2 linked regions of the Nothobranchius furzeri genome follow. The protein of the gene in region 2 interacts with the protein of the main gene of each other region in a pairwise test. Links are inferred from orthologs where the notes say so. Each region holds a gene or a part of one and is shown on either strand. Other genes may lie near its edges.

What was found. The genes of interacting proteins can lie anywhere in the genome.
Region 1: the proteins of gripap1 (region 2) and rab4a interact in binary tests that used the Homo sapiens proteins (3 or more experiments, as listed by UniProt). The link is inferred for Nothobranchius furzeri from reciprocal best matches to the Homo sapiens genes GRIPAP1 and RAB4A.

Annotation. Positions count from the first base shown.
Region 1 is NC_091749.1:34,752,852-34,756,956, reverse strand, and holds the start of rab4a (ras-related protein Rab-4A), read right to left. Parts: upstream 2,801-4,105; 5' UTR 2,665-2,800; coding exon 2,649-2,664; intron 1,990-2,648; coding exon 1,909-1,989; intron 1,499-1,908; coding exon 1,384-1,498; intron 1,210-1,383; coding exon 1,147-1,209; intron 1,069-1,146; coding exon 914-1,068; intron 799-913; coding exon 703-798; intron 617-702; coding exon 501-616; 3' UTR 473-500; intron 300-472; exon of another isoform or gene 280-299; 3' UTR 1-279. Other genes in the region: phf10 (PHD finger protein 10), read left to right, coding at 3,321-3,392. UniProt on the Homo sapiens protein: The small GTPases Rab are key regulators of intracellular membrane trafficking, from the formation of transport vesicles to their fusion with membranes.
Region 2 is NC_091755.1:47,276,106-47,280,221, forward strand, and holds the start of gripap1 (GRIP1-associated protein 1), read right to left. Parts: upstream 2,801-4,116; 5' UTR 2,693-2,800; coding exon 2,645-2,692; intron 1,739-2,644; coding exon 1,672-1,738; intron 1,597-1,671; coding exon 1,535-1,596; intron 1,442-1,534; coding exon 1,415-1,441; intron 1,278-1,414; coding exon 1,170-1,277; intron 1,104-1,169; coding exon 941-1,103; intron 1-940. UniProt on the Homo sapiens protein: Regulates the endosomal recycling back to the neuronal plasma membrane, possibly by connecting early and late recycling endosomal domains and promoting segregation of recycling endosomes from early endosomal membranes.

The DNA.
Region 1 (4,105 bases), on a different chromosome or scaffold from region 2:
AACTATTACAGAAGTAGTAATAATAATAATAATGCAGGCTAGGGTTAGGCATCCTGGTCAGGGACAATGTGGTCCAGTAGAGCCAGAGACGGATGAGTTTGTGGTTACCATGGAGATTCAAGTTCTTGTGAAGTTGGGCGTAGGTCTTCTCGGCTCTCTGCTCATGCACACGTGATAACAAAGGCTCTGAAGGGTCCGTGCAAAGGTCAGGGAGGGGTCACCAGCACAGCAACCTGAACCCAACACTGTCTGGTCCTCCATGGTCCTTCTTCTTCTTCTCTTCAAAAAAAAAAAAAACCCTGTCATTACATAAAGAAATTTAAAGCAACATAATAAAAAAGCAAATACTTTTCAATAAAAGATGCAACTTTTGATGTTTCTGTTATGTAACAAAAACATCACGTCAGAGATGTTGCTGAGACCATCGAGCACGGCTCTAAACCATCCAACGCTTCACATTTTTTTCCTGTACCTTGACTGCGTGAGATGCACGAGGCCCCTTAGCAGCCACACTCCTGTGTGCCCTGTGGCTGAGCGCGGCGAGGAGAACGAAGCTGTCGTAACGCGGCGTCGCCATACTGGATACCTGACCCCATCCTTTCTGGGTCCAATTCTCCTAAAACCCGAGATATGATCAGTGAACAGATGAGCACCTAAAGGGGATCTGGAATAGCTTTTTAGGGTTATTAAGCAAGCTCCTACCTGATTCTATCTTGTTGAGGATCTTCCGAGCGCACTGGACAAAAGCCTCTTCAACGTTCTCCCCCGTGAGAGCGCTGGTCTCCAGGAACATCAGCTCTAACAGACATGTTTTGATTAGAGCAGAAGCAACTGACAGTTCTTTGTAGAAAAAAACAATCAGTGTGTGGCTCGAAAAAGGCAAAGAAACAGAGGCGCTTCTGGTGGATCTCACCGTTCTCCTGAGCGAAGCGCGACGCCTCCAGGAACGTGACCTCCCTGTCAGCATCCAGGTCCTTCTTGTTGCCGCAGAGGATGATGACAATGTTTTGACTGGCTAACATCCTGGCATCGCTCAGCCACGTGGTCAGAGCGTTGTACGTTTCACGACTGCAGCCGGCGACAGACACGGATTAAAGTCTGGAGCACAGTTAGAAAACCAACAACTAAAGCCGAGTTCTGTGATACCTGGTGATGTCGTAGACAAGCAGGGCCCCCGCTGCGCCTCTGTAGTAGCTCCTGGTCACAGACCTGAGACACACACAGTTTCCGTAGAGCTAAATTTGCCACCAGCAATGCACAAACGAGACAAAAATGCTACATACTTCACTTAAGATATCAGCAATTCAAAAAAAGGTTAATTTTGTACAGAAGTTGTTATAAAAATGAAATACCACATGTAGTAATGATGGGATTTTGCCCTACCTAAAGCGTTCTTGTCCTGCTGTGTCCCAGATCTGCAGTTTGACTGTTTTGTTGACCACACTGATGATCTTAGAGCCAAACTCCACTCCGATCGTGTGGTTGGATTCATCTTTAACTGGAAACAATAAATGGATAGATGAAAAAAATGGATGTATAAATCAGGATTAGAAACAAAACTAGAGAATTATTCTGTACAAGTGTCAAATGTGTGAGATTTATTCTAAATGTTCAGAAATGTAACAGACATTTAAGTACTGTTATGCAATGTTAGTCACTTTACACGAGCAGACCTGTTGTACAGTATGTGTGCGTGAGTGAGTGTGTAGTCCGCCTAATGCAAATTAAATCTAAATTTAGAAATCAAAACCACTGTTCCATACAAACTACACCAACACTAAATAAAACACAGCCAATGTGGATTTTTCTCAAAACAATAAATGATCAACCTGAATAATTAGCCAGGCATTTAGATGATCAATCACAAAAAAAAAAATGTGAAAGAAGTGGAAATAATAGAGAACTTACATCTTTTCTCTATGAACTGGTGCAGCAGACAGGATTTTCCTGTCCCAGCATTCCCAATTACCAGGAATTTAAACAGGAAATCTACAAGGGGAACAATACAATCATTTAATAGACATAAGCTCAGCTTGACCCTCTTAATGTGGCATTCATAGGCACTAGCTCATCTTAATCCTAATCTTATTTGAATCAAGATTATTTTATAACTGAGATATAAACCAGCTGATATATATTACACATGAATACCTGATGGTTTGTTTATAAAGGCAGGGACACCTGCTTACTAACCACAGGTTTGTTCATTGTGTTTATGGTGTAAACAACTCATTTTGTATGCTGCAATAATATTTTACTGTGAGATTTAGAATGATCCAAATGTAAAATATACACATAAAGAGAGCATTAAATGGTTATTTATTTAAAAAGTTGAACAGTTCAGCCTCAAATTTATGCCAGCCCTGTCCTCCTCTTTACCCCTACCTGGTATCTAGCGGTTCTTCTGATTAGAATCCCAAAAGCTCCGTTACATTCAGTGTGAAAAGCTACATCAAACCCAGATGTATGATCTGAGTTGACTGACAGCTCTGCTTTAAGGCCAGAAGCCTTGAGTGGTGAAACGGTTAGCCTGTCGGCTATCTTTTTGCGATGAGAAAACGCCTTCTGGGCACACCTGCCTCGTCTTTACCACTGACTACCAGAAGGCACCCGTTAACTGTTGCCTCGGTTTAAAGCAGACTCCTTACCGTAAGACTCCGACATCGCCAATGTGGCGGTTTGATTCCAAAAGCAAAATGAAGGGAGGAATAAAAGTTGACAGATGCACAGCTAGCTCAGTAAAGGAATACACCAGTGATAATTTCCGTGCATTCCAGCTGATTTTTCCTTCCGACTTCCCGTAGGTTCTTCCTTTCAAAGTAAAAGTCCTTCCATGACCGACACTGTGATGCACTATATAGTTTTCGCCTCACTATGGAGCTGTTATTAAGTCTCCAGAAACGTTAAAATCATGATTTATTATAGATGTAAAAAATAATCACAAATAAGAAACATCCACATTGTAATAATTAGTGACCAGATATATTACTTATTATTGTTGTCAACTTGAAGGATTATACGTGCAAGTATTGACCAGTAGGCGGCAGTAGTGGTCACTGTGATTGGCTGACTGCAGCTAGACAACTATTTTAAAAATTGTTCTGCTGTGATAACCTTGCGTTAAAGGACCAAAACCGATTTCACATGATTTTAATACATGATCGGAATATTTGGTATTTAAAAGTAAAACGTTTTTCACCTCTATCACCGATCCAGGCCAGGAGAGTTCGCTTTCTAAACCGAAGGCTTTACCATAGAAGAAGAAACGCAGACTCAAGCTAGTGAACTAGCCTAGCTGCGGAACATTATTTTGTCGAAATATGGCTACTGTGCTCCCCATTAGACCACCTTGCGATAGTAATCCTGCCACCCCAGGAGCGCAATCTTTAAAGGTGACATTCACACTCCTTAAACTGCTTCATGCTTCAGCCTGTGTCCACGAATGACCCCGTTAGCCGTATTAGCGTCCATTCTTTGTTTTCATGTGTGCTCAGTTTATTCAATTTACCTTTCAGTTGTTGAAAAGTCGCCTGTGTAATTTGACTCGTATAAAAACGAAACGTAACCTCAAAATGCATTATTTGCTAATTTCTCTATTTTAAGTTCTACTTTTATTTTATATCTAATGAAACTTATACTTGTTTTTCCTAAAATAACACGTTTTGTACACGTGAGTTGTTTACAGGTAATGAATTATTATATCACTCATAAATCATGTTTTGCAGTGGCTCATTTAAAATAAAAAATGTATGAAGTAACCCTGAACTGGCAAACAACACACGAGTCTTTTAATCCTACCTTGTCAGGGAAATGGTCTTGTCTAATATGTACAGTAGTTTCTATAAACTTTCATTTTTTAGAAGTGATGCTCAAGCCAGAGGGTTTGAACCCTATTATTCTAGAGGTTAATGCCTCTAAAGTTGATGATGCAGCTGTATTGCATTTCAGGTTTTGGTTGCCCTCCATTCATTTTCACTGATTTGGGTACAGAGGAAACACTCAAGTCTTTTGTAAACAACTACTTTCATGGTCCTTTGTCAGGTTTTTCCAGGATAGATTTATATTTCTTAAGCACTGTGACTTTCAGGAATAGTTTACCTGATGT
Region 2 (4,116 bases):
CGTTCATGTCCCCAAGTCATGTCCTGCATTCATGTCCCCAAGTCATGTCCTGCATTCATGTCCCCAAGTCATGTCCTGCATTCATGTCCCCAAGTCATGTCCTGTATTCATGTCCCCAAGTCATGTCCTGTATTCATGTCCCCAAGTCATGTCCTGCATTCATGTCCCCAAGTCATGTCCTGCGTTCATGTACCCAAGTCATGTCCTGCATTCATGTCCCCAAGTCATGTCCTGTATTCATGTCCCTAGGTCCTACGTTCATGTCCCCAGGTTCTACGTTCATGTCCCCAGGTCCTATGTTCATGTCCCCAGGTCCTACGTTCATGTCCCCAGGTCTTGTTTTCATGTCCCCAGGTCCTACGTTCATGTCCCTAGGTCCTACGTTCATGTCCCCAGGTCCTACGTTCATGTCCCCAGGTCTTGTTTTCATGTCCCCAGGTCCTACGTTCATGTCCCCATGTCTTGTTTTCATGTCCCCAGGTCCTACGTTCATGTCCCCAGGTCCTACGTTCATGTCCCTAGGTCCTACGTTCATGTCCCCAGGTCCTACGTTCATGTCCCCAGGTCTTGTTTTCATGTCCCCAGGTCCTACGTTCATGTCCCCAGGTCCTACGTTCATGTCCCCAGGTCTTGTTTTCATGTCCCCAGGTCCTACGTTCATGTCCCCAGGTCCTACGTTCATGTCCCCAGGTCTTGTTTTCATGTCCCCAGGTCCTACGTTCATGTCCCCAGGTCCTACGTTCATGTCCCCAGGTCTTGTTTTCATGTCCCCAGGTCCTACGTTCATGTCCCCAGGTCTTGTTTTCATGTCCCCAGGTCTTGCTTTCATGTCCCCAGGTCCTACGTTCATGTCCCCAGGTCCTACGTACATGTCCCCAGGTCGTGTCCTGCTGGGAGAACACATTAAACCAGGTCCGGGATCTGTTGAAGTCTGACTCACCCTTCAACTTCTTCTGTAGGGTGGAGTTTTCAGCCTGGAGGCGGAGCTGTTCTCCATTTACAGAGGTGGAGGAGGAGCTAGGATGTCGGCTGGGCGCAGAGGCTCCGCCTTCTTCCTTCAGAAGCTGGTTCTCCTGCTCTAGCTGCTCAATCTGCGTGCAGAGCTAGAAGAACGACAATGTTAAGAACATGCGAGACCTGAAGACACGTCAGGACACACAGAGACGCACCTTGGACAGCTCTGTCATCAGCGTGGTGTTCTGCAGCCTGAAGTCATCCTCCTGACTCAGCAGCTTTCCCTGCAGCATCTGGTTCTCACTGAGAAGAGCATCCACCTCCTGAAACACAAACCAGAGGAACTTCTGTTCTGGAGCTCTGGCTGATTAAATCTTGTCTGACCAGACTCAGATCCACCTGAACAGGTAGGACCACCTACTGCCCAGCCGAGATCCACAACCAACCAGGTGGAACTTACCTGAGCTTTTTTGCTCTTACTCAAAGCCTGAAGAAGAAACAAATGTAAAGATCAAGAGATGAAGAAGGTTCAAATCCAGCAGATCAGACCAAAGATCACTCGTCAATAAGAACTGGTCACCTTCTGGGCTTTGATCAGGTCTCGCTCCAGATTCCCATTCTTCTGACGAACGACGCTGAGCTCTGAAACGCAACCAGACCTTCTAACCACATCCCACGAGTTCTGGTGACACATCTGAACATTCAGCAGGTTCTTACCAGCCGTGGTCTTCCTGAGATCATCTGACAGCTGGTAGTTCTGCGTCCGAAGCTCCAGCAGCTGAGCCTGCAGAGTAAAACACACAAAGCTGCGTCTGAAACAAACAACAACAAACATCCGCCTGCTGGTTCATCTAAATGAATGAATGAATGCATTAATTAATTAATTAATTAATTAATGGATTAAAAACATTTGATATGAATCAAACAAATCACGCAGACTGAAGAGGTTCTGGTGCACCTGGGAGCATCAACAGATGTGATATAAACCTCAGTAATGACCTCTGTAACCATGACAACCAGCACAGAACAGCTGCAGTTTTTGGACCTGGAGAACATGATTTGCTTCTACTGAGTGAAACTCAGGTCCATGTAGACCCCGGATCCTCTGATGGACCCGTCTGGTTTCAGACCAGGTCCAGAACCTTCTGAACCGTCATCCTGCTGAATACGTGGAACCACTTGCTTCCTCTCAGGGACTCGCGGTGTTGACTAGATGCCTAACACAGGATGACGTCATATCATTTAGCTCATTGGATACTTGAACATCTCATGCACTGACAGATCAGCACCAAGTTACAGGGGACGCCAACACACCTGTAACACCTGCTGATCCCTGTGGTCCTCCCCGGAGACAGGACCCCCCCCACCCCACCCCCACCCACCCCCCCACACACACACACACCCTCCCGTGACCGTCATCACGAGCCCAGTGAAAGCTAACAAGAATAACGGTTAGCAACAGAAAGCTAACGACCGTTAATAAAACCGGTTTGTTCGGCTGACCCAACCTGTCCTCACTCCTTCACTGAGCCTGATGCCGCAGCTGGACTGACACCGAACCGATACCGGACACCGTTAAACTGCTCCTACTTCAGAGCTAATGAACAGGGTGCCGCACCTGACAGCGGCGCAGGTGTTTCAGCTATCTGCACCTGAACGAGCTGGGTTAAAAGAGCAGCCTCCATCTTACCTGCATCCGGTGAAACTCCTCCTCGGATAGAGCCTGCGACATCGCCATGTTTACCGGGCTGCCAGCTAGCAGGCTAGGCTAACGGGAGACAGAGCAGCTAGCTAGCAGAGAGGAGAGCAGCTAGGAGTGGCATGAGAGGGATGTGTCACTTTGATCTGTTTCCACAACCAGGAAAGAGACCACAGAATAGCGTAGAGGCGGACCACCATCTTGGATGGGTCCCCATTCGCCCCAGTGCTTTTGTTTCCACCCGAGGAAGGTGCTTGTCCAACTAAAAACACATTTTCTTATGTTTTTTCCCCTCAACTTCAGACATATAGTATTGCATGATGCTTAAAATATAAATATATGTAAACATAAAATCCCAAAAGGTAGGCTAGAGAAGTCACATGATCTAGACAGATGTCTCACTATGTTCTGTTTCCAGCGGAGACAGATGTCTCACTCTGGTCTGTTTCCACAAACAGGAAACATACACTGAGGAGACAGATGTCTCACTCTGATATGTTTCCACAAACAGGAAACATACACTGAGGAGACAGATGTCTCACTCTGATATGTTTCCACAAACAGGAAACATACACTGAGGAGACAGATGTCTCACTGATGCTTCTGCAGGTAGAATAGCAACAAAGGCAGATACAAATGACAGCTTTCCAATTGAAACTTTTTAAATTTTAAATTTAGGACCTTCAATTGTTCACCCAAACACAGTTGTATGAGGACGAGCATGACCACTGTCGGGAAGGATCTCCTGTGTTACAGCAGGTCTGAAGAAGCCTCCAGCTGAAGATGCTCTGTTGTTGCATGATGGTGCCATGAAAAGGATGCTCGGGGTTGTCCATTATTCTGACATAACATAACTCTGTGGACACACAACTGTGTCTCCAGCCAGAACAACACCGTCGTGATCAAAGGTGCCGACGATAACACCGTCCTGGGTCTGGCTACAGTGAAGAGAGGACCAACAATCACAACTTTCTAGGGGTGACTCTAGAAGGCGCTATATCAAATACAGGCCATTTACCATTTAGATTTGGTGACATCTTGTTATTTACCAGGCCAACGACCAGCCCTGTGGGCGTGAGACAGCTGCAGGCAGGTCCAGGTCTCTGCAACATGCACCTTCATTACACGGCTGATGTTTTATTTTTTGCATTTGTTGGCATAAAATTATGATTTGTTTAAAATTATCCGTTGCTCACCTCACCTGAATTTCCCTACATGCACAGTGGCGCTCTGATCAGCAGCCTCAGGACCCCGCTTCTCCTCCAGCTTCACTGGCTGCCAGTCAACTTCAGGGTTCATTTCAAGATCCTGGTTCTGGTCTATAGGGCCTTACATGGACAAGCACCATCTTACATTGGTGATCTTCTTAGTCCCTACACCCCCAGCAGGTCCCTGAGGTCCAGTGACCAAAGCCTACTGGTTGTGCAGCACCAGGCTAAAGGTCAAAGGTGACGGATCATCTG